4 linked regions of the Drosophila melanogaster genome follow. The protein of the gene in region 4 interacts with the protein of the main gene of each other region in a pairwise test. Each region holds a gene or a part of one and is shown on either strand. Other genes may lie near its edges.

Region 1 (6,786 bases), on a different chromosome or scaffold from region 4:
CTCGGCAATTTTAAGCGGCTTACGACGACGATGATGCCGTCGCAGAATTTTCATTACTAAGCCAAAGGTGAATACCTCATACTCCGAATCATCCGCACAGAACGTTCGCCATTCTCCTCAAGTGCGCAGTCAACTTCAAAAGGCTGGCAAATTCTATGGGTTAGCGAAGGAGTCTCAAGGCAAACACAGATCAAATCTTATCGGGAATCATTTTATGAGCAAAATTAATACGCTTCAAGCCAACTGAAGCGGCTGAGCGACTGGCAAATTTGTAGACGTTTTGTTGTTGCCCAGGCAACTTGAACATCCCCATCCTCGACGAAAGGCAACAATATAATGAGCCAGAGCAGGTGGCAGGAGTGGTATCAAAAGATTGATACAAAAAGATATGCTTTGGCACTCGAAAAAATAAGTACTTTTAAGATAATATAAATATTTTATAACTACTTAATTGGAACCTTAGCATTGATGTTTTTCTTTCAATTCTTGAATGTTTATTTAGGAAATCATTTTTCTTTAAAATCCATATAATACATGAAGTTATGAATTTCTGTAAATATTTTCGCAGTGAAATAACGGGCTCACGGGCAACGACATCGTCATGGAAATTCTTCATTAACTCAACTCGGGCGCTGAGAGAAAAGAAGTTTATGTTATTAAGAACATGGAGGAGTGGGCGGAGAATGATGGCAATGGTTACTATCCGTGGCGGATGGGGGCGTGGCTAGGCTGTGAAGGAGGCAGCCGGAGCAGCAGCTGTTGTTGTAGTAAAATGTGTGTTTTACTTGACAAGAAAGAGATAACGGTAAATGAATATGCAGCAATTTGCACGCCCACATAATGAGTAGGGCGATGGTGGCGGAGAGAGGCATGGAGGGGGGAAGCGGTAAGGATACCGCCGGCGGGCAGAGACTGAAATAATAACAGCAGCAGAAAAGCAACAGCATCAGCCGCTAAACAAAAGTCGATAAACATAAACCAGGCAACGCAGACAAGCGCTGATAAGTGTGCTACACTTTCCACAGGAAACGGAAGGCGTGGGCTTGCATGTGTTTGCTTGTATTTGTGTGCGAGTGTGTGCGGGTGTGTGTGTGTGAGGCAAAAGTAAATTAAAACGATTTTAATTACGGTTGCCAAGACGATGAATGAAAATGTCAACGATGCCGGGCGACAGCAGGTGGGCGTGGCGTAGGCGTTCAAGGAGTGAAAGAGTGCGGAAAAATGAGACAACTCCTAAAAGCCTTTCGTTGTACCGCTTGCTGAGCAGCAGTGTGAATTATGGCACATGTACAAGGCGCTTATGCACCGAAAAAAACGAGGATCCTTTAATAAGTTTCAACAGTGATTTAAGCTACTACAAAATACTATTTTACAGTACACTTTAGGCCAACAAATACGTTTTGAATAAGAAGCCACAGGTTGACTTAATAACGAAATTTATTAAATGAAGTGCAAAACTTAAATTCATACATTTCCTGAATAAAAAAATTAAATCCCTTTTTTATAGTTTATCAAATCTGTATATGACAACTCTTTTTCATTCGTGTACGTATGTGCCAGTGAGTGGAATAAAAGCAGATTTTCATTTAGACTCTGTTTTGTTGTCTTTAGCTACTTGACAAGAGCCAGAAGCCAAAGTCACTGCCAAGAGCAACACCAGCAAACTTTAACAAATAAACGGGTTTTCAGGAAAAAGGGAGAAAAATGGGGAAAAATAGAAGTAGGAGCAGCAGTCGCTTCTAGCTCAAACAAACAAGCTCCATTTTTATGAGGCTCTTTTGTCTGAGGCTGCTATTCCGCCTTTTTTCCCCTAACTTTTTTTATACCTTATTAACGCTCGCTCACTCGCTTGTTGAAAATGAAAAGTTTTCGTTGCGGGCGTGAAATTTTTTTTTTCCCACAACCGAAAAAAACAAAGATGGAATGCTGAAAAGCCACCGAAAAAAAGGAGAGCAGAAACCATGGCTTGCTGATTAACTTGACACGGCCAAGAGCGGCGAGGGAAAAGTGTCGCGGAAAAGCGGTGGGTGGTGAGGTGAAAAATTCGCGGTTCGTATGCAGCTGACAGGCAGCACCTGTCGCCGCTGCGGAAGTGTCGACTGCGAATACGAATGCGACTGCGGCCAACAAACCGCCGCTTGACATTTCCTTGGCGACGCTTTTCAAGGAAAATGTTGCTGGCTTGGCGAGGGGTTCGGAAAACGTGGTGGGCGTGGGGCGGTGGAAGGACGCTGCGGTGGCCTTGTGTATCTTATTTTGTGACTGCATTTAAGTGCATTTTTATGCCACAGATTTAAGTGTAAGCCAGTGGATTGCCAAAGTTTGTCCAGGGGTTTATCTTCATTAATTTCCGCAGTGCTTTTTAATGCAGCAGAACTTCATATTAACCCCAAAAGTGTGCTGTGGCAAGTAATTCGACTTGGGCGCTTCTTTATAATCGTGCCATAAAATCGACAACAGTTTTTAACGGACGCGTTCTGATTGGATTCCTTCTTTTAAACTGCTAGCATTGCTTTAAGTTTTACCATATCCTAAAAAATCAGTATTTATAAAAGTAAAGATCATATTCTTATCAACGAAATCTCATTGCTGAATTCAGAGAAAACCAAAAGGTTTCTTTAATAAAAAAAGGTCTTTAAAAGCAGTCTTTCAAGAGCAGTACATTCCATTGAATTGGCATAGTTTTATATTACTTTATTCACACCGAAACGTTTTTCTCGGGCATGCTCGCGTGCATTTCAACGCCCCGAGGAATTTAAAGTTTTTCGGAAAAGCTGATACACTTCACTCCAAACATGTTGACAGCTTAACAGGAAGTCTGCCCCAAGAAGTACGGCGACACCCCGAAAAAAGTTGATTCCTATCCTTGGAGCCCGTTGCACCCCCATTTGCCGCTGATAACTTTAAGCCGAACGAGGCCAGAAAGTGTAGCAGCTTTCGTGGCAAAAGTTTGCAATGCATTTTGATGTGCAGCCAAAGTGCCAAAAGGTGGCAAAATGCAGAGGGGGGAAAACTCTCTGCGAATAATTATATAGAGAAGATGAAAGGACCGGAGGCAGCGAAGCGAAACAAGAGCCTATGCAATTCTTTCAAGTCAAGGCTACTGACCTTTTTAACACTGTTTGTCAAGGATGCAAAGGGCCGACTTTGATCCCAACAAAGGGATAAAATAAACCCAAATTGACCAACAAACAAGACTTGTATATCCAAAGGATATTTAGGATGTGGAGCCAATAATGAAATTTGTCGTGTGTCCCACTCACCTTAGTATCAATTTTTGGCGGCAATTTTCGTTATGTTCACGACCTTTATTTGCGTTTTCGTCTTATTGCCACAATAATCCAAAGGAAAACTGGCCAAAGTTTTCGCATAAAATTCAATTACGATTGTGAACTCATAAATCGCAACACTTGGCCGCGTTTTACGATTACGTCTTTTGATTTCGAGCACGGAAAGTGTGAAACTTTTTTGGTTAACGCGGCTACTTTGTTATCACTGTTATCGGGCCACGACTCTGGCAATAAAATTACCCCGTCGCGTCGTTAAAAGTTAAACGACCCTTTGTGCTAAACTGGGGGATTTGTTAAGTTTTTATGACTTTCGACGAATTTCGGACAATGTTGAAGTTTTGGGCATCTGCCAGTTGTATACGGTTAGGTGCCTTTTTGGGGCAACCTTTGCAGTTGAAAGCGCGCAAGGAACTGTTTATCCTGGCCCCATGTGCTGGCATTTTTGTGCTAAGCCCGAAACTTGGTATCCTGCCACGAAACTTGGCATCCACAACAGCGCATGCGCTGGATTTCCTCGGAATGTGGATGTCTGGAGTGGGACAGGACCTTTCCAGTCTGCATTCAACTGGTGGTTGGCTTGCCAATCGAATCCTCAAAGAACTGCCATATGTGCATGGTTGTCGTGACAACTTGATTTTCTCATAAGCTAACGGTTTCTCATTTCCTACTGCCATGAATTTGATAAGATTTTATTACGATTTTTGCCGGTGGCAACCTTTGATGCGCCCAAACATCCACTAGTTTGAAATCCGAAGCTGATCTAATTATGCGACCGTTTAGCAGTGCATACTTTTCAGAGACTTAAAAGAGGGCCGGTAAACATCTGAAAAGGAGAAAGGACTGTCGAATGACATTAGGGCAAATCCGCTTACAGATGCGGAGATGAGATGAAGATACGGAGGGTCGTCCATTGTTTATGCAAGCGCATTAAGCTGAGGCTTAGCTAAGGATACACTGACTACTCGGCATGGAGATGCAGATGGGCAGATGCGGATACTGAGATACTGAGAAACAGAGATACAGATACGGATTTAGATACAGTAGCCCAGCTCACACCCACAAGCAGCAGCGACATGTTGCGGTTTTGCGAGCAGTAGATTGACCTGGCCAAGAAGCCCAAACAAAACCGCATGTTGCAGGGCGTGGCGGCATCTTAAAGCAGTCCGAATCCAGCTGCAAAATTTGAAACTGAACACTCAAAACTCACAAATGAAGAACCTATGGATAAATCGAAAAGTCAGCGATGCGAAGTTGAACTCATTAACGGCAGTGAGTGGAAAGTCGTTGTCATGTAATCCAATGCCGTGTACCAAATTGGAATCTCGTATTTCTCATAGATACACGGCGATACGTGCACACGTATAAAAAGGACTAATAAAAGGAGGAAAAATCAACTAAGAAAAATGGAAACTCGCGTGGATATTTCGTGATTTTCCGTCTGTAAGCGCCGGCGTGCAATCTTCTTTTTATATGCCATCCATTTTATTGTTTATTTACAGCATTGTTTAGTAGCATATATCCGCGTGTATATATACATAGATACTAGTATATTCCCCAGTCAGCGTTGATTTAATGGCTGTAAATTGAAATGGAATACGCGAAAAATGGAGAAAAATGTTGGGACAGGTGAGCTGAGTTGATTTGGCAGAAATATATTTATTGAAAAAGTTGTCAGAAAAGAATTTAAAAGAATAAAACTTTGCGGATTGAAATTTGCATTTCACAGTTGTACGCCGGCTTACGTCAAACATTTTCTATCCTTTATGGATTTTATTATGTATTTTAAAAGCCTAAAAAGGCTTTTTTTCTTGCATATTTCACGAAGAAAAAGGGAAAACAGGTGGTTAAGAAAAGTTCCAAATTTATCTATCGGCTTTTATCCTTTGCCTAACCATTTAAAGGAAACCCAACTTCTGGTTGCCAATTTCTGTTTATCTTTCTTGTATCTTTTCCTCGTTTTGCTTACATTACGAGCGGAAATTTGATTTGTTTCTGATAAATGCCATTTATTTTACTTGTTTAAGTCCTCCCACTCGCTTGCCCCTAACTTTCCATGAAATTCAATTGCCAAATTGATTCAACTTTTTCCCCTCGCTGCAAAAAGCCATGGAGCTTCGCGTTGAGCCGCAGATAATTGAATGATTTGAATTTGTATATTGAATTTGGCTTTATACATAGCTGAACACGCCCATTTTTCATTTAACGCCCACCACCCGGCCTTTCATCATATTTGGCAGTTTGGCAGTGCGAAATTTTTGTTCATCGTGTTGCGTGGGATTTTTCTATTAAAATGGAAATTGTAGGCGAATTGGAAAATTGCTTATCAATTGACGGGGGGCATATGCTTCAAGGATCAAACGGAGGCTAAAATTGATTTCCCTAGCCGCCACCATTTTCCGATGACCCCGCGCACCCACGCCCCGTTTATGCTGCAATTAAGTATAAAATTAAGTTTTTCCCTTGCCAGCGAGCTTAATTGAGTTGTATGTGTGGATTTCATTCCCATGGAATTGGGGTGAATCCCTCTTGGAATTTAATTTAATCCACTGAAGCGTTACGCCGCCAGAAAATGCATGGCGAATTTTTTTCCGAATATTGCGCTGCCTGCCTTCTTTTAATTGTTTGTTACATGGGAATTAAAGACAACTGCCCGCATGATGATGTAACCATATCGATGGAGGGTGCACATATATGTATACATAATGATCTCCCCAAGCAGACGAAGTGTCTAAGAGCGCTCCTTTCTAGACAGACATGAAAAGGAAACCCTGGGCTGGCTAATGGCAAGGTGCTCTCGAGCTCCTTTGTTGCCAAAGAACAAAAAACACAACTATTACTTATTGGTTCGTGGAATGCAACTAGAACGGCATAGAAACCCTCTCTCAAGTGCCACTCCACATTTCGACCTTTGTTTCGCAATCGAGTTTCGATTCAAAAGCAATACAAACACGCACTGCGGGTGCCACTTCAACCGGTCGAAATGGGAATAGGAATGGAATTGGAAATGCTAGAATCGTTTGAGAAACTGCGTCACCATAAATTGTAATTACCCAGAATTCACGCGACCCACAGTCTCAGGAAGAGGAAAAAAATATAAAGTGTCAAGGGGCGTGTGCAGCGACACTTCGCCGACCCCTCCCCACATTATTTTTTTTGCCGCCCGCTGGTACCAGGTACCGCCCGCCGACTAACGGTCTATATCTATGTGCGTGACTAGCGGTGGACTACCGAGCGGCGATAGTTTATGGAACGTGCTGGACTTTGAATAGGTATGATATAGATAGATGTGATAAAGTGTAAGGATTAAGGCTAAAACACATATTTTGTTAAGCGTGATATAAAAAAAATAGCATATATATATTAATATTATATAAAATTCAACATTTTTAAAATTCCAGATCCTTGTTTCTTTTTTCTGCGTAGTAGCCATACCCCATCACTATCCCATCCCTAACCATCACATATGTGTCGCATAACCTAAAGACGTTTACAAATG
Region 2 (5,225 bases), on a different chromosome or scaffold from region 4:
AGAATTTGAGTATCTTGTTGCGAGCGGCCACCAGTTGTGGCGGATCGGTTTTCACCGGCTCATACATATTGGCGCAGTGAGCGGTTCCTAAAAAAAAAAACACAATAAATGCTTACATTACCCAAGTTATATGTGAAAAATGTGTTGGTAAGCACATACCTTCTATGTAAATGGTAGGAAGTGCTGCGTTCGTGGACTTGACCAAGCCCAAAGCATGCCAGGGATCAATGGAACCGTGCACGTACAACACATTTGTGGTCTTTGGCTTTAGGGCGCCATAGTTATCATTTGTGGCGGACACCACCAGTTTGAGGAACTTGGCGTTCATATTCTTGGAGAACACATCCATGCACTGGCGTATAAAGAAGTCGACACCGAAGCGATCACCAAATGTGTCAGCCGGGTTATCCGAGGTCTGATAGAAGCCGAATTCGTGGCAGGTCTGATATGTCCACTGGCGCATTCCCTTGGCCGTCTCCGAGTCCCAGGAAACGTTCTTCATGTCCGCCACCATCTTGTCGTACTTGTAGTCCAGGCAGGTGGTGTTCGATTCCTTCAATAGCATATCGTTGACCAGGCCCAAACGGGTCACAGGTGGACCAGCCGTGGTGTTTAGCATGACATCGCAGATCTATGGAGTTCAAACATTCTTAGTATGGACTTGATAGGGATCAAAGTGAGGATGAAACACACGTCGTCAATGGTGATGGTGGCATGGGGACTGTTGTCCTTGTTGTATTGCACCACTCCAGCAAAGTTGCCAGCCAGATTCTCAAAGAAATTGGCCATGTCCAGGTCGTTTTCAATGGAGTCCTTGATGGGAGTGCATGTTCTGAGTATAAAATGGTTTACAAAATTAAAATTTGTGCAGGACGATAGCCTAATCCACTCACTTGAACTTCTCGTCCAGGCTGCGTTGTCCAATCATGTGCTTGAGTAGAATCTCCACTTGCGCAAAGCTGCGGGTCACGGCGTCCACGCATTCGGGCTTGTAGGCAGCTAGAGAGGCTTTGACCACCTCGAAATACTCCTTGAAGTCAACCTCAGCCAGCAGAGGACCACTGGAGCTAATTGAACCGTAGATGAGCTCGGGATACTTCTCGCGTGCCCAGGCGGCCAGCGATCCCGGATAGGAGCCACCGAAAGCGATCCATTTCTGGCCATCGCCCAGATTGAACTTAACCTTCATGGCGGTTACAAAGCTGGCCAAGTCCTCCAGAGCCTGCTCCGAGCTGAGATAGTGCAGATTTTCGGTGGACAGATCAGCGGTGGGATGGCTCTTGCCATAGAAACGATGCTCCAACTGCAGACACAGCGCTCCAAAGTGCTCGGCATAGTGCACCCAGGCTCCTTCGCGCATCCACTTGGCCGACGCCTCGCCCTCGCCACCGATCATCAGGAATACGGGTGCGGAGCTGTCATTCCGATAGAAGTCGGCATTCACAAAGTATCGCTGCTGCCAGGTGCGCTTATCGCTCGACTTGAAGTGATCCAATCGCTGCTCGAACCACAGATCCTCCGAGTGCAGGCTCCTTTGCAGGGTTGGAATCTTGCTGGGCTCCCCGAGGAATCCCTTGGTCAGCCTTCCGCGTCGAAATCCCATTCCGGAAATGGGCGCAAGCAGTCCCAGGAGCAGAAGACCCACTCCCAAGGGCCTCAAAACGCCCCCAATGAAAAGCATATTTGCTTCCTTTGTTTGTTCGGGTCAAGTAGAATTTGCCAGTAATTGAAGTATTTAATTAGTTGGAACCTCGCACAGTGCCTAACTGTAAATAGCGACTGAAGGAGAGTGGTGTGTTCTATTTATATAGGCACCGTTATGTGTGTCGCACTCTCCTGATTATTCAGTTCTCGCTGTATTATCTATATTCGCAAAGCCGGCAAAGCAAAACTAAAACAGTAGGGGCATTCATAGTTATTGATTTCAATCATTAATTGAATTAATTTAATTTTAAGCAGAGAAAGATTTCTGTATGCTGTAAGTGTTCTGGTAACTTTACAAAACTTAATTTAGCTTTTTATTTATTTATATTATTTCCTAGCTAGATATTATCGATGAGCTTAATAGCACCGTAAATGTGAACGTGTTTTGCAAAATTTTTGTCAAGTAATTAAGAAAAGTATACATTCTTGCATGCTTTGATAATTTCCATCTGCGTGTAATTTTAAATTCTCACTGAACTAATTTAATGGAAGTTTCCTGAATTTCAAATGCTTTAGGTAGCTTTAATAAACAACATATAGTTTATTTGAATTATTCCATATATTAGGTAAATATTATTGTGGAGTTTCACTGTGCCGTTAATGCGAAAGCTTAATAAATGTATTTGTCAAAAATTTTAGGAAATTGTGCATGTGTATGCGTTGTTTTTATATTTTTCATCTGTATAGTCAGTTATAAGTAGCCAAATTTAGTAACTAGATTTTGTAGCTAAGTATGGCAGCACTGTTGCTGTGGTAGCATCTCTTTGTATTCTGAAAACGGTAACACTAATTGCGCGACAATTTGGATTGTTTACGTTTTTATCCAGTTTAATTGTAATATAATTTAAAAAAAATATTGTTGTTAACTGTCATAATGGACTTCAATAGCCTAGCCTACGATCAGAAGTTCTTCAATTTCACAGCGGCACAGTTGTCTGCAGAGCGTGAGTGCTACATCCTTATATCTCTGGATCAGCGTCCTTTATCCATTAATTCCTTTTAAATAGGCGAACATATTGTGCAGGACATAATTAAGAAGGGTATTGGTCAGATCATCGACAAGATCAAGACACCCGCCACAGCGGAATTGCTGGAAGCCGAGAAGGAGACCGTTGAGCGTCGTTTCCAGGCATCCGCCTCCAAGGGCCTAAAAGCCCTCAGGGAACTGGACAGCAAAGTGTTCCACGTTCCACCGCATGTGCTGCATCCGGAGCACATGTTCGTCGAGAATCAGTATACCAGCGAAGAGGAGGAGCAGAAGACAGCCAGGTTGGAGGAGCTGAAGGCCAAATACAGAGAGGTAACTTGTAGAACCAATGGAAACTATCTTGTATGCCTCATTTTAATCATTATAATGGGGAAAAGGATGCTTTATTTTATGTTTTAATAATGCTAAATCACATCAATTTCAGAACATGGCCATGCTGGCGCATTTGAAGATCGAGGAGGAGAAGTACGCCGCCATGGAGGATCTCATCCAGAAGGAGATCGAAATGCAGGATCGCGTGCAGCGAAGCTGCTCCTCCCTCAACATCACCAAGCTGAAGCAATTCTGGAATCAAGTGCCCCTGCAGATAAAGAAGGAGACTGATTAAATAAACTAACTGGATCAAGTTTTTTAATCTACATTTCCAATATCTTCTTTCGAAACTAGTTTTAACCCTGGAGTCATTTATAATCACTAAGACTCTTCTATATTCCACTTTACCTATTATTATGTCGTTAACTTAGTTTTAAACTTAAAATTAAATTAAATTAAAATTATTATGAATCCGAAACACCTAGATGATTACTTACTAGTTTTAAACCAATTTACCTTAGCATTATATTAGTTCCTTTGACAACAGCGGCAACCAAGCAACGGTCGCTGTTTAAATTTTCCAACTGCCTTGTTTTCAAACAGAAAACAAGCCGGTTAAAAAGTTTCAAGCACAGAACAGACACAAAAACCCCCTTATATGTTACATTTCGAATCGTATATTTTGCTATAAGCCTGGAAAAATGGGAGACTCGCACGATGTCTGCAGGCAGCTGCTGCCGCGCGCAATCTTCGGCATCAATGGCAAGGTGGAGAATGGAGTGCGCCAGCATCCGGTCACGGGATCCATCATCTTTGCGCTGGGCAACAAAATCGGCATCGCCGACTACAAGAAGAATACGCAGGAGTTTGTGGCCGGACACACGAACACCATATCGTGCCTGGATCTCAGCAAGAGTGGCAAATACATGGCCTCCGGTCAGATCAATCACATGGGCTTCCGCGGCTATGTGATCATCTGGAATTACGATCAGCGCAAGGAGATCGCTCGCCACGATCTGCACAAGGTATCTGTGCAGGCCATCTGCTTTACTGCCCAGGATAGATGCGTTGTGTCCATCGGTGGCGTGGATGATGGTTCCGTAATTGTCTTCGACATGGAGGCATTGTAAGTTGTTCATATCAGAGCTCATGCTTGAACTCCTTCAATGACTTCGTTTGCCATTACAGCTCTCCCATTTGCCAAACACCCGCATCGAGGGCCATCTCTGGAAATGCCTTGACTGTCCGGCCGTTGCACAACAATCCCTACTTCTTTGTGACCGCCGGCGATCGCCATCTGCGTCTGTGGAGCATCCTGCGTGAGGAGAAGAAGCTGTACGTACAGGATGTCCTAATGGCCAGCAAGACACGGGTTTTCTACTGTGCGCGCATCAATAAGACGGATGAGTTTGCCTATCTGGGCACCGGAACTGGGGACATTGTAAAGATCGTGCTCAACTGCTGCGATCGTGATCATGTGAGCAAACAAGGCTCAACCAGCTGCATCCTCGGAGCCTTCGGCACCCACAATCCCAGGAAGCCAACGGGCAGGGACTGCAATCGTTATGTGAATGGTGTGCGTGCACTGTATGTCCTGGAAGGCGGACGTCTGCTGATTGGAGCGGGAAATGGTGATATAGAGCTGGTGGAGGAGCGTACCGATGTGCCGCTCATTAACTTTCGCGATTATCCCGGACCCACATGGCCATATTTGCGCACCCTGAAAAAGACGCACGTTTCGGGCAGAATCTCGTCCTTTGTGCGCTCGAAAACGGACATGTTTTACATCTGCACGGACACCAACGAGATCTATGGGCTGAATATCAAGACTTGGGTGCTCAAGCTGCTGCGAACGTGCCACACCAAATCGGTCTACTGCATCACGTTTCCCAAGTGAGTTTGGATGGAACTAACCCTTCTACTTGCAATCTATTTGCTACAATTGATCATATATATGTATTTAAGGAACTACTCTGGTGTCTTTGCCACGTCGGGCAAGGAGTGCATCCGCATCTGGTCGTCTGGTCGCAAGCAGGAGCTGCTCCGCATCATGGTTTACAACTTCAACTGCGCCTGCGTGCGCTTTACCCACGATGGCACTAGCATAGTCTCCGTTTGGAACGATGGCATCATTCGCGCCTTCACTCCCATCACCGGTAGACTCATCTACGCCATACCCAACGCGCACAACAAAGGTGAACTTTGGGAATACCAATCCTTC
Region 3 (5,633 bases), 9.6 Mb from region 4:
TTTTAGTTCGTATGGGAACCACTCTCTCCAAGTTGCTCAACTACCACAAATGTATTGTACTTACGTTCTTGACCTCTGCTACCCCACAACTAACGATTTGAACGAACATGAAATGCACACAAGATTATTTTTCATAGTCCTAAGAGAAGAACCTTATATATGTCAATGCATCATACACAATCGGCAGTTGTCTCTGATTTTGATTCTTACTTGAACTTGTATTTATTTGTATCTTTGTATAGACTATGTTGATATATATATGACCCTATATATGTTTGTTTCAATGCCATATTACATGAAAGTTCTTTTTAATTCATATTTTCCGTTTGCGCTGCAAAACAAATTGTTACCATATATAATATATGATATGTATGTACCCTACGTATAAGCAGGCTTGAAGAAGGCCGCCAACTCGGCTTCAGTTGTCGTAGAAGACTTCTTTGTAAAGCGTGTAAATGAGAGATACAAATTATTTTAAATAAAATACAAAACAAAACAAGCAAATGTTTCAGCTACACTTTATTAATTTTGTTCATGGTTCATCTGTGAGCCTTCGGTCTTGGTTTTTTCCAACGATTGTATCTGCTTATCCACCTTGATGATCTTTGTTGTGACTTCGTTCTTCTGGCTGAGAATCTTTTCTCGCAACGACTTCAGCTGTTCCCGTTGCTGGGTAAATTTGCAATTAAATTTAAATAGATTACTTTCGTTTTTTGAGATCACAAACCAACCAGTTTAAGGAAATGTATGTTCTCCTCCGCCCTGGCTTTTTCGAACAAATGCTTGGATATGTTCCTGGATACAGAGATGCATCTAATAAGCGAAGCCATAAGTGCTCAGAACACGGAACTCACTTGTTGGATTGTGAAAACTGACACATCCTGGGTCGCAACAGTTGGAAAAGCTTTTCGACCAACTTCAGCATTGTATCCTTACGGAGGAAGATAATTTGGAATTTACTATAGTAACTGATGAGGTATTTCAAGGTGGAATATTGACAAACTTAAAAGTGATAGCCTACCGTTTGATAGGTCATTTTTCGAGACTCTTTTTGAATTGCTCCAACAAATCCTTCAGAGCTTTCAATTCCTTTAGCAGATTCTCCTTGTGTTTCCTTGATTTGTGGCTAGTTTTGGATTCCAAAATCTTGATCTCCTCTTTCAATTTGACGATATCATTGGCGATTTCTTTAACCCTGTTCTTTTTTATCTTCATAAATTGCTCTGAGGCCTATGGAATACCCAATTCTACAAGGTTATTCACAACATTAAATAGTTTCGATACATACAAGTTTGAGAACATAGTTAAGTTCCTCGCCTCTGCCCTTCTCGGAAAATTTGTCAGTGAATTGACGTCTATCATATGTAAAAAAAAAATTATTTTTACGGGTCATTTGAATAATAAAATACTTACTTAGCAGGAAATTCGTTTAAATTATTATTCGACCTTGGGTGGAAAATGTTTCTACCGTGGTAAAAGTTTCTATGCCTTGGTAAATTTCTGTGCAACTCATTGGAAGGCCAACTAATATTTAGAAGATTTACAAATAAAGTTTGGATAAATTTCCAGTACTACATACCAAACTCTTTCTTGACATAGCACCTGAGGTTGAAATAGCCTGTTGCACGATGCCGAGCCTAAGATTCGTGCAACAGGAAACATGGCTTCTTAAGTTTAGGATAGAACGAAATCAGTGTGGCAGAAATACATTTTACAAGTCTGAAAGTACAATGTGGATATTTGACGTACGGTCAAAAGCAACTACTTCGATATGAAATTTAGAATTTGCAATAAATTTAGAAATAATTATTACGCATTTTATAAATAGTAAGCAGATGTGTATCAAGGCCATTTCATAAGTAAGATAAGGAAACTGGGCGATTAATTTAGTTTAGGCGTTTCAAATCTTTATTGTTTCATTCTTTACGTCAGGCGTACATAGTCTTCGATGGTTTCCCAATCGGAGCGTCGTAGTACAGTGGTCGTTGCTGTGAGCTTGGAGACCTGAACGGATTTCCGGACCCAGCTCCAGATCCCGATCCGTTTCCTGGTCCAGTGTGGCGAGATGGCGAGGCGACGCCGGGAGCAGCTAGGAAGCCCAGGAGGCCCAAAAGGAGCAGGCAGCACAATGCGATCAGCTTCATGGTTGGCAATCTCAAGTGAATCTGAATGCCGACCTCCGGCAATAGCTTGTTTTTATACGCTGCACTCGTATGCCCTTGGGATTGGGAAGCACCCGGGGGGATTTTGCTATTCGCTGAAATCACCGACTTTGGGTGATTTCTTATCAGCTGGGGGGCGTCGATCAGATTTTCTCTCCTTCCTCTCGCGATTGGAATTCACCTTCACATCGAACTCCATGCCACGGATGCAGCGGGTCAGGTCGGTTAGATTGGCCTCGACGCGCTTTTGCTTGAGTGCCAGCTCATGGGATTGCAGATCCAAGATTCCGCGTTCCTGACGATGGGATTTGATTAGATGGCGCTCGATTTTTGTATCATCTATCTTGAAAGGTAACAACTTACTGTTTGCAGATCCTCCAGTTTTAGTTGATTTTCTATGCGACTCTGATCGGGCAGGACAACCAGATAACTTCTATATATCAAAATGTTATGATTGAATATGTATAATCACAGAATGCAACCTACCTGATGGTGCAGCCTCTGAAGCGGCTGAGAATAGATCTGATTATTGGGTTAATGTCCATGCTTACGAAAATGAAAACAGCTAATTTTGATTATCTCTAAAAGTTTGAAAGTAATTGCAAAGTGTTGAAGATACTTCAAACTGGCAAACTGCTGATATGGAGCTGAAATTCTGCATATAACCACATTTTATAGTTATCTCATTCTTCGCTATGCCAAAAACTATGCTACGCATTCTTGCTGTCCCATAGGTGGCGCGTTGGTTACGCATGTCAAATGTAAAATTACCATCGCCCTTGCCAGTACAAACAAGTTGTTGCAATCATTTAGTTTTATGTTTATTTATTCATTCTTATGTTTCGGAGGGCTTGTTTCAACTCTTTGAGCACTAATATAAGTTTACCCCTCGCAGTCTTCGCCTCGGACGACTTACTTTTCTCAAGGGCTTTGATTTGCATTTCAAGTGACTCGATTTGTGCGGTCAGTTCCATGATCCTTGCCTCTTTTCCCTTGTTCCCCTGCAAATGTTTCTTGGAGGTAAACGTTCTTTATGAGTCATTGAAATGTTTAGTTAGGAGATACTCACAACATGATACGTGTCGATACCGCCACTGCCTCCTTTGTCAAAAAGATCGCTAAACGGTCGTCTCTTGCTGCATGGAAATTGTGGATTTAAGGGAACTCACATTGCGGACGTACTTACCATAGAAACATGGTATCTCTTGTCTTTAAAAAAGTAAGAATCTTATAAGCCCCCCGAAACATACTTTAAGCTCTGCGTCAAATTTGTGTACTTATGCTTTTTTCGTTAATAAGTTTCTCCACGCCAACTAGGTGAGGCAAAAACACATTCAAAAATGGCTAACAAATGATCCAAGTAAACCTAACCCCTCTTGCTTTGCGAATATATTTGTTAAACATTTCCAATATACGAATTCGGTAGGAGAATCAATACTCAGACATACATAGTTAGTCAGTGATCATTTAGTTAGTTAGTTTTTTCCTTAAATTGTCTGTGATACATTACATATTACGGATAATTCACGATGATCTGGGACTTCTTTACCTTTATACGCGGAGCCACCGAGTTCAGTGCCACTGCGCTACTGATTTTGCTCGGTTGCATGGGAGACTCAACGAACCAAGGTGGTGAGAGCAAATTCTTGGTGGCCAGGTGATGCTTAGTGAGATTTCTATAATAGAATATTGTTAAATACTCTATCGTATAGCGTTCACTATGGCCTGACGGTGATGGTGGTGATGCACGTGTTTGGCTTCGTATCCGGAGCCCATTCGAATCCATGCATCTCGATCTCATGCTACTTGATGGGCTACATCGCCCTGGAAGTGATGATGATGTACGTGGTGTGTCAGATGGCCGGTGCTTTCCTTGGTTACTTCCTGCTAATGCAACTGCTGCCCAAGGAGCTGGTGGACAAAAGCAAGCCAGGCATTTGCCTGGTACAACCGATGGACACTCTGTCCACATACCAGGTCGTCATCATCGAGTGCCTGCTGACCGCGGTCCTCGTGCTCGGATGGTGCTCCTTGTGGGACGTGCGAAACGGAAGGTTCCTCGACTCGGTCGCCATTCGCATGGGTCTCCTCGTGATCGCTTGCAGTTTCGCAGGGGTGAGTTGAAAGGCTTTGGATTTTGTATCTATAGATACTATAGCTATATATGCATTTATTGCAGATTCAACTAACTGGAGCCAGTATGAACCCCGCCAAGACATTGGTGCCTGCCATATTCTACGGCAGTCCGAATTCGGTTCTAATGCAGCTGACTGGCCAGATCCTGGCCGCCATCATGGTGCCCTTCGTGTGGAATCATGCGTATACGCCACCTTATAAGCCCTTGGAAATTCCAGTGTGCAACTGAGCTGTGACAATAAACATAAGCTCGACGTTTTTGGCTACCGTGTGGCTTATTTGATCAAGTGTATGAGCAATTAAATATTAACGATAAGCAGTTCGCCGTGGCGTAAAAATAATCTGGCTTAGATAAGCATAGCATTTACATTAGATTAAATATATAGTCGTCAGGCGTTGGAAATTATTTAAGCTATTTATTTGCACGCTTCGCAACTTAAAACTATCCGCTCTCTCCGCTCTCACGAACACGAACTTAAACGATAACTTGTCCTATGTGTAGTAAATCCATTTAGGCGAGCTCCGCCTCCGAGGTCCTCTTGGTTGACATCGTCGTCTCGTCCACCTCCGATTCCTCCAGCTCCCGCCGGAAGGCGTGCTTGTAGATCACCGAGGTGATCAGGGCAGCCGCCATGGGACCCACCCAGTAGATCCAGTGGTCATCCCAGAATCCGTTCCAAATGGCCGGAGCAAAGGATCGGACTGGATTCATACTAGCCCCAGTCAGTTGTCCCTGTTGGGGGATTTACAATTGTTTATTAAGAACATTTTTTTGATACCTATTGATTGCATTTCATGGGATGGCTAAAATGTCTATATTAAAAGTGTATATATGCCATTTAAAGAAAGGTTATCATCGATACCGAGAAAGTCAAGTGCATTTGCCTGATAAATTGAAAACAGATAGTGAATGGAATTTTAGCATAGCGGATCGTCAATTTGATATTTCTTAAGAGCAGACAGTCTTATCTGTATCGGTATTACTTGGACAAACAGACATTAAGGTGGATTACAAAATAAGATATATCTAATACTGTATCTGAATTATTCCGAACAATAATCAACTTACCGCTGTGAGCGACAGGCATGCGATGGCCAGACCAAATCGCACTGGCAGCGAGTCCTGCTTGGTGGCATTGCGGGGATCCCAGACGCCGCAGCACACGGAGATGAGGACGCAGGTGATCAGGAACTCCACGGCCAGTCCCTGCCATGGGGTCAAGGTGCTGTTGAGCGAGGTGAGGCAGACGCCATTGGGGTTCTCAGCGCTGTAGATGGCGCTCTCCGGGAGCACCGCCTTCAGCAGGCCGTAGCCAATGAAGGCGCCCACCATCT
Region 4 (4,979 bases):
CGAGCATTAAGGAGTCGCCATTACTGGAATGTTTGCATCATCGTCGAGTTATTCTGATAAGCCTGATAAGTCAAGATCACGGGTTACGTATACGCAGCGTGGGACAACTCAGCGATTGAGTGTGCTTAACCCTATTCTGAGTGGATTCTCGAGAATCCGCTGACATTCAAGATAAATCAGATTGGAATGAGTATAAATCAGATTTATAATTAGAATATCGTTTTAATATCCGTTAATATATTACCATCTGGGCTTTATTTTTTATATCTACTACGTTTAGAGGCCATCATTTTTCTCCCTGCACTGCATAATAATTTTGTCATTTGCGTAAACAATTTAATGTGCGTGTGTGCGTGAGTGAGTGAGATATTAGAGGCCAAGTCAAGTCTTCGTAGTGCGAGTTTCTGCTGCTCACCCAAGCACTCCCCTTTTGAACTCCGCAGCCATTCGACTTCTTTCTCTTATTATTCCAATTTTCCTATGCCACTGTAGCTGTATTTTTCCCAGCTTTTCCTCCGCTTTTCCGACCGCTTTCCCCGTCGCGCGGCTTTGAAGTGTTTACATTTTGCATTTGAATTATCGCCGTTTTATATGCTTCGCTTTGATTTTCTATTCACTTGTTGTTATTGCCCTGTCTGCCTTACATTATATTAAGCTAATTTTAGTATTTAGCTTTCGTTTGCATTTCAATTCAATTTGGAGAAACGGTGGGGAAAACGCTGTGGGCTTGAAACAGACCGAGTACTGTACTTTTTTATTTTTAATTTCCAATTCGATTTAATTGTTGTTCTTGGCGCTGACGTTGTTGTTGCTGTTCCAAGTTGTTGTTATTTTTGTTTCGCCTTTTCCGATTTGATTTGTGTTAATGTGTGTGTGTGTGTGTGTGTGTGTGTGTGTGTGTGCTTGGCGCCGTTTGGCTTGGCGGCCAAACGTTCTGAACAATAAAAATTTTGAACGAAACGATAGGAAAATGCTTTGACTTTTAGGTATTTGAAAACAGTATTAGCATGGTGTTCATACTTTAAACAGAAACTGAAACTTCAAAATCCAAGAAATATGTTGCAACTATGAAAATCAGCTAATCTATAAAGATGATATCAAGACCACAAGGAAATAACTTAATAACAATAATACATATTTTTTGGTATGACCACTTTATGTATATATATATATTTATATACAAAATTGATCTTTAAAGAAACCCCCTTTGTTGATATCAGTGATTAAGTGCAGTTGAATTTTCCCTGTTAGCCTTGCTTATCTGGTGTTTATCCGTTCTGCAAGATCACTCAATTTCTCACAATTTCTCTCTTAGCTGCTGGTGGCTCTCTTTCTCCCACTTCACGCAGTTTGCCTTCGGAGAAGCTGAGTTTTGTTTACCGACTTGCTGTTGTTGTTGTTGTTGCTGCTGTCGCAATTGAAGCGCAGTTTCTGGCAGCAACAGCATGAGCTATAGTATCTATAGATATACCGATACCTATACTTATGCCTACATGTACATACAAACATATATACCCGTTCGTTCGTAGCTCCAACGGCGAGGCATGCGAAGTCCCTTCAAGCGTTTCAACGTACTTTTTTTTTTGCTGCGCTTCGGTTTGTTTGATTTGGCTTGCTCACCTTCGGCTCGACGGCAACAACAACAACAGCAGCAGCAGCAACAACAACAGTATCGAACGGACGTCGACGGAGGCAGCGACGGAACTGCGAATTCGATGGAGACGTCGGTGGCGGTCTCAACCTGAAATCCAACCTGAAACTCGAAACGAACCCGAGGCTCGTGCTGTGTTTCATTTGAATGGGCACACGACGAACGGAGTTCGAGTTGGATTGGCCACAGTGTGCCGGCCAAATTGGAAGCCTTTGGTTCCACTTTGCGAAAACTTTTAAATTCGCTTAACCAAATTGACAGCTTTAGGGCCATTTCAACATACGTACACGTTTGGTTTCTTAAAATGTAGATGGTAAAGGGGGAAAATCTTTTCGGTTGCACGCTAACGTCAGGGTGGAAGAATGAAAAGCAGTTAATTTCTAGAGAATATATCGTATCGTTAATATTTAATAGTCTTCCTTACAAACCTTAGACATAATTGTGAAAAAGTATAATTTATGTAGTCATCGGGAAACCAATTTCTGGAAGCTGTCGGACGAGTACTTGTAACTGTAGTCATTTATCACAGGCATCTTTTGCAAATACCTTGGCTCAAAGGACCTCATTTCCCCATGCTCTCCCTTTTGGTCTCTTTCTGTCTACCCATCCCGCTTGCACTTGATCCTGTGCCTAGGCCATAAATATCGTATTAAATATTTGCCTTAGTATCGCCTGCGATGTCGGCGTTTCGCGTTTGCATTAACGCCGAATGTTGTCTGTTTATCTCGCTAGTTATTGTTCGCGCTGCCCATAGGTGGTGTTTTGCCATTTTCGAGGGGGGTGTTCATGTGTCCATGGGCCATAGGGGAAGGGGAAGGGGGAAGGGGGAAGGAAGGAGGCTTGCTGGCAAGAGGAACAAGGGGGGGGGAGGGTTTCGGCTCTGGTTTGGTGGTTGCAAACTTTTGTGGCATTGCCAGTTGATTGGATTGCCATGAGATGAACTTGGCGTCGCATGTGAATGTGTGCGTGTGTGCGAATGAGTGTGGCAAGTGATTTATGAGTCCCCAGTGCTGATATGGGATACGCTATACGCTATGGATATACAATAGATACAATGTCATTAGCGCTCTCGCCGATACACTGCTCCTTTTTCCAACGTAAACTCCCTATTTCTTTCGTCGATTTTAATTTAAGCACATAATGGCGATATCATTGACACCCAGTAGTTTAACATTTAATTTTAGCAAGTTTTGCTTGTGTTAACATTATTTGGGTTTCACTGTGCTGCAGAGCGCACATTCCGAAAGGAAACACTTAACTGCTTAAGGGAATCTAGGAGCTTGCGACATTCCTGTAACGAACACTGACAAAAATCAACTAAATTTCAACAAGTGGAGTTTCTGTTTCTATCTCTCTCTCGATCGACAATAAGTTGGAGTTATTTCTAGAAAAAACGAAGCATATTGAAGATGATGCAGCCAGCGGAACAGATCTTCTCCTGCGGATTCGAACTCTTCGGGCGAGTACAGGGTGTGTGTTTGCGGAAGCAGACACGAGATCTGGCCACAATGAACCAGGTGCGCGGGTGGGTGATGAACACGGACGAGGGCACGGTGAAGGGACAGCTGGAGGGCACACTGCCCAAGGTCAACGTGCTGAAGTTCTGGCTACTGAATATCGGCAGTCCGCGCTCGATTATCGAGCGGGCGGAATTCACGCCCACCAAGGAGATCACTTCGCACAACTTTAGCCGATTCTCGATTCGCTACCACAATGTGGCAGCAACGAAAAAGGCCATTTAATAAAGAATTTAGACTTGTAGTCTACTACCGAAAATTGGAACTGTGTATTTGCTGTAACTATTTGTTTGGACCTTTAAATTGAGCTGCCTACGAATGGAGCCCAGTTGTGCTTCTGCGAGCATCATTTATAAACCTCTAAAATGAAAAACAGGCTGCTGCCAGCCACTAATTAAGCCGCACAAAGAAATGCTCAGCGCAATTACATGGAGGCTGGCACATCCACTATGTACTTATTTTAATATATGTATCTACAAAGTAAATATATGTACATATGTATATATATATATATGTGAGATGACTTGGTTAGACAGACACCTGCAGCTTCAGCTTCAGCTTCAGTTTTAGCCTCGGCTTGGCCACATTTCCAGTTGAGCGACGCCCCAAACTGGCAATGAGTTTTTACGGCACACAAACAGCAGCCAACAGGCAACAGACAATACTGGCTATAAGGAAAATCTAGAATAACAACAGAGAGCCACAAATATTTATCGCAGTGCGCTGAACAAGAACAGATTGACTATTTGATTGAAGGTGAAAATCTAGTAAGTCGTGACTTCTCAAGGCGGAAGGAAATGCCTTGAAATGCATTTTTGGGTAAATGTTATCTGTTATGAGAATAACGGTAGATATATATATATGAATTATACGTATACATATATGTACGTAATCCGCTGTCTATTCAACGAATGCATTTATTGCATAGGAAGTTAAGATTTCAAGTGTTGGAAAGTTCACTGTACTGTTTCCGAATTTCATTATTGACAGTTACATGTGTTAGCCTGCTGTTAGAAAAGTGCAAGCTGGTTTCTTAAGTAATATACTAAGTAATATTAAGTGTAACTCTGTTTGTAAATACCATATTTCCGAATTTGATGATGCTTATTCCGATTTAAACCCGTGTGGTTTTAAATCAAAATCGGATTGAAATCAAAGTGCCACATGCATGTCTTATCACATTTTCGAGTTGTCCAAGTGTAACTCGTAACTCGGAGCGAGAATCCAGTTGCCCAGCGCGCCTAGCTGTTGGCGTTGTAGCTGTTGTTGTTGCGCCCCCAAATGCCCTCCATGGGTCGCTGACTACCACGACGCCGCCACTGCCACTGCTCGGGCGATGGCGTCACTGCCGGCGTCTCTGCCGCCGAAGCACTGCGCATAATCACAACAAAATCAAACAAATGAACGGCACTGACACAGCGGCAACACCAACGGCAACAGCAGCAGCAGCAGCAGCAGCAACATCAACGCAGCGGCAGCAACATCACCGCAACAGCAACAGCTTCGAGTCGCGTGTGTGCGTTCATGTGAGGTTGTGTTGGCAACTTCGTTGCGTGTGTAACAGGCGCCCAGATTTTCCGAGAGAGCTGAAAAAGAACATTTTCACATGCGGAGTGGGGTGGAGTGTTCCCATTTGTGGATGTTGGGTTTGCGGAATTTTTATAGGTTAAGCTGTAAGCGGTGTGAAGAGAGGGGGGCGAGAGGAGTGTTGTTGTAGAGAGGAGGCAAGGGGGCGTGGCAGAGAGGCTGGGGCGAGCGAAGAGGGTTGCTGGTGTGGCCTTAACTAGTTTCAGCCGGCCGGTGTCGTTGCC

Evidence for each region.
Region 1: the proteins of CG18371 (region 4) and PVRAP interact in a two-hybrid assay, tested with the Drosophila melanogaster proteins (one large-scale study listed by BioGRID).
Region 2: the proteins of CG18371 (region 4) and Mis12 interact in a two-hybrid assay, tested with the Drosophila melanogaster proteins (one large-scale study listed by BioGRID).
Region 3: the proteins of CG18371 (region 4) and CG42559 interact in a two-hybrid assay, tested with the Drosophila melanogaster proteins (one large-scale study listed by BioGRID).

The regions. Positions count from the first base shown.
Region 1 is NT_037436.4:5,994,131-6,000,916, reverse strand, and holds the start of PVRAP (PVR adaptor protein), read right to left. Parts: upstream 3,710-6,786; 5' UTR 3,264-3,709; intron 1-3,263.
Region 2 is NT_037436.4:6,966,288-6,971,512, reverse strand, and holds Mis12 (Mis12), read left to right. Parts: upstream 1-2,464; 5' UTR 2,465-2,578; coding exon 2,579-2,648; intron 2,649-2,711; coding exon 2,712-3,004; intron 3,005-3,116; coding exon 3,117-3,299; 3' UTR 3,300-3,478; downstream 3,479-5,225. Other genes in the region: CG9953 (uncharacterized protein), read right to left, coding at 1-87, 160-631, 694-832, 894-1,681; CG10064 (uncharacterized protein), read left to right, coding at 3,706-4,130, 4,193-4,897, 4,970-5,199.
Region 3 is NT_033778.4:23,599,026-23,604,658, forward strand, and holds CG42559 (uncharacterized protein), read right to left. Parts: upstream 1,763-5,633; 5' UTR 1,663-1,762; coding exon 1,580-1,662; intron 1,525-1,579; coding exon 1,414-1,524; intron 1,356-1,413; coding exon 1,289-1,355; intron 1,231-1,288; coding exon 1,033-1,230; 3' UTR 1,022-1,032; exon of another isoform or gene 932-1,021; 3' UTR 926-931; coding exon of another isoform or gene 855-925; exon of another isoform or gene 796-854; coding exon of another isoform or gene 732-795; exon of another isoform or gene 670-731; coding exon of another isoform or gene 523-669; 3' UTR 501-522; downstream 1-500. Other genes in the region: CG42560 (uncharacterized protein), read right to left, coding at 523-669, 732-795, 855-925; IM18 (immune induced molecule 18), read right to left, coding at 1,929-2,144; CG10332 (uncharacterized protein), read right to left, coding at 2,251-2,457, 2,526-2,595, 2,649-2,707; CG43209 (uncharacterized protein), read right to left, coding at 2,984-3,175, 3,232-3,298, 3,349-3,410; Eglp1 (entomoglyceroporin 1), read left to right, coding at 3,692-3,819, 3,875-4,277, 4,342-4,527; Eglp2 (entomoglyceroporin 2), read right to left, coding at 4,810-5,031, 5,368-5,633.
Region 4 is NT_033778.4:14,025,674-14,030,652, forward strand, and holds CG18371 (uncharacterized protein), read left to right. Parts: upstream 1-2,946; 5' UTR 2,947-3,060; coding exon 3,061-3,393; 3' UTR 3,394-3,423; downstream 3,424-4,979.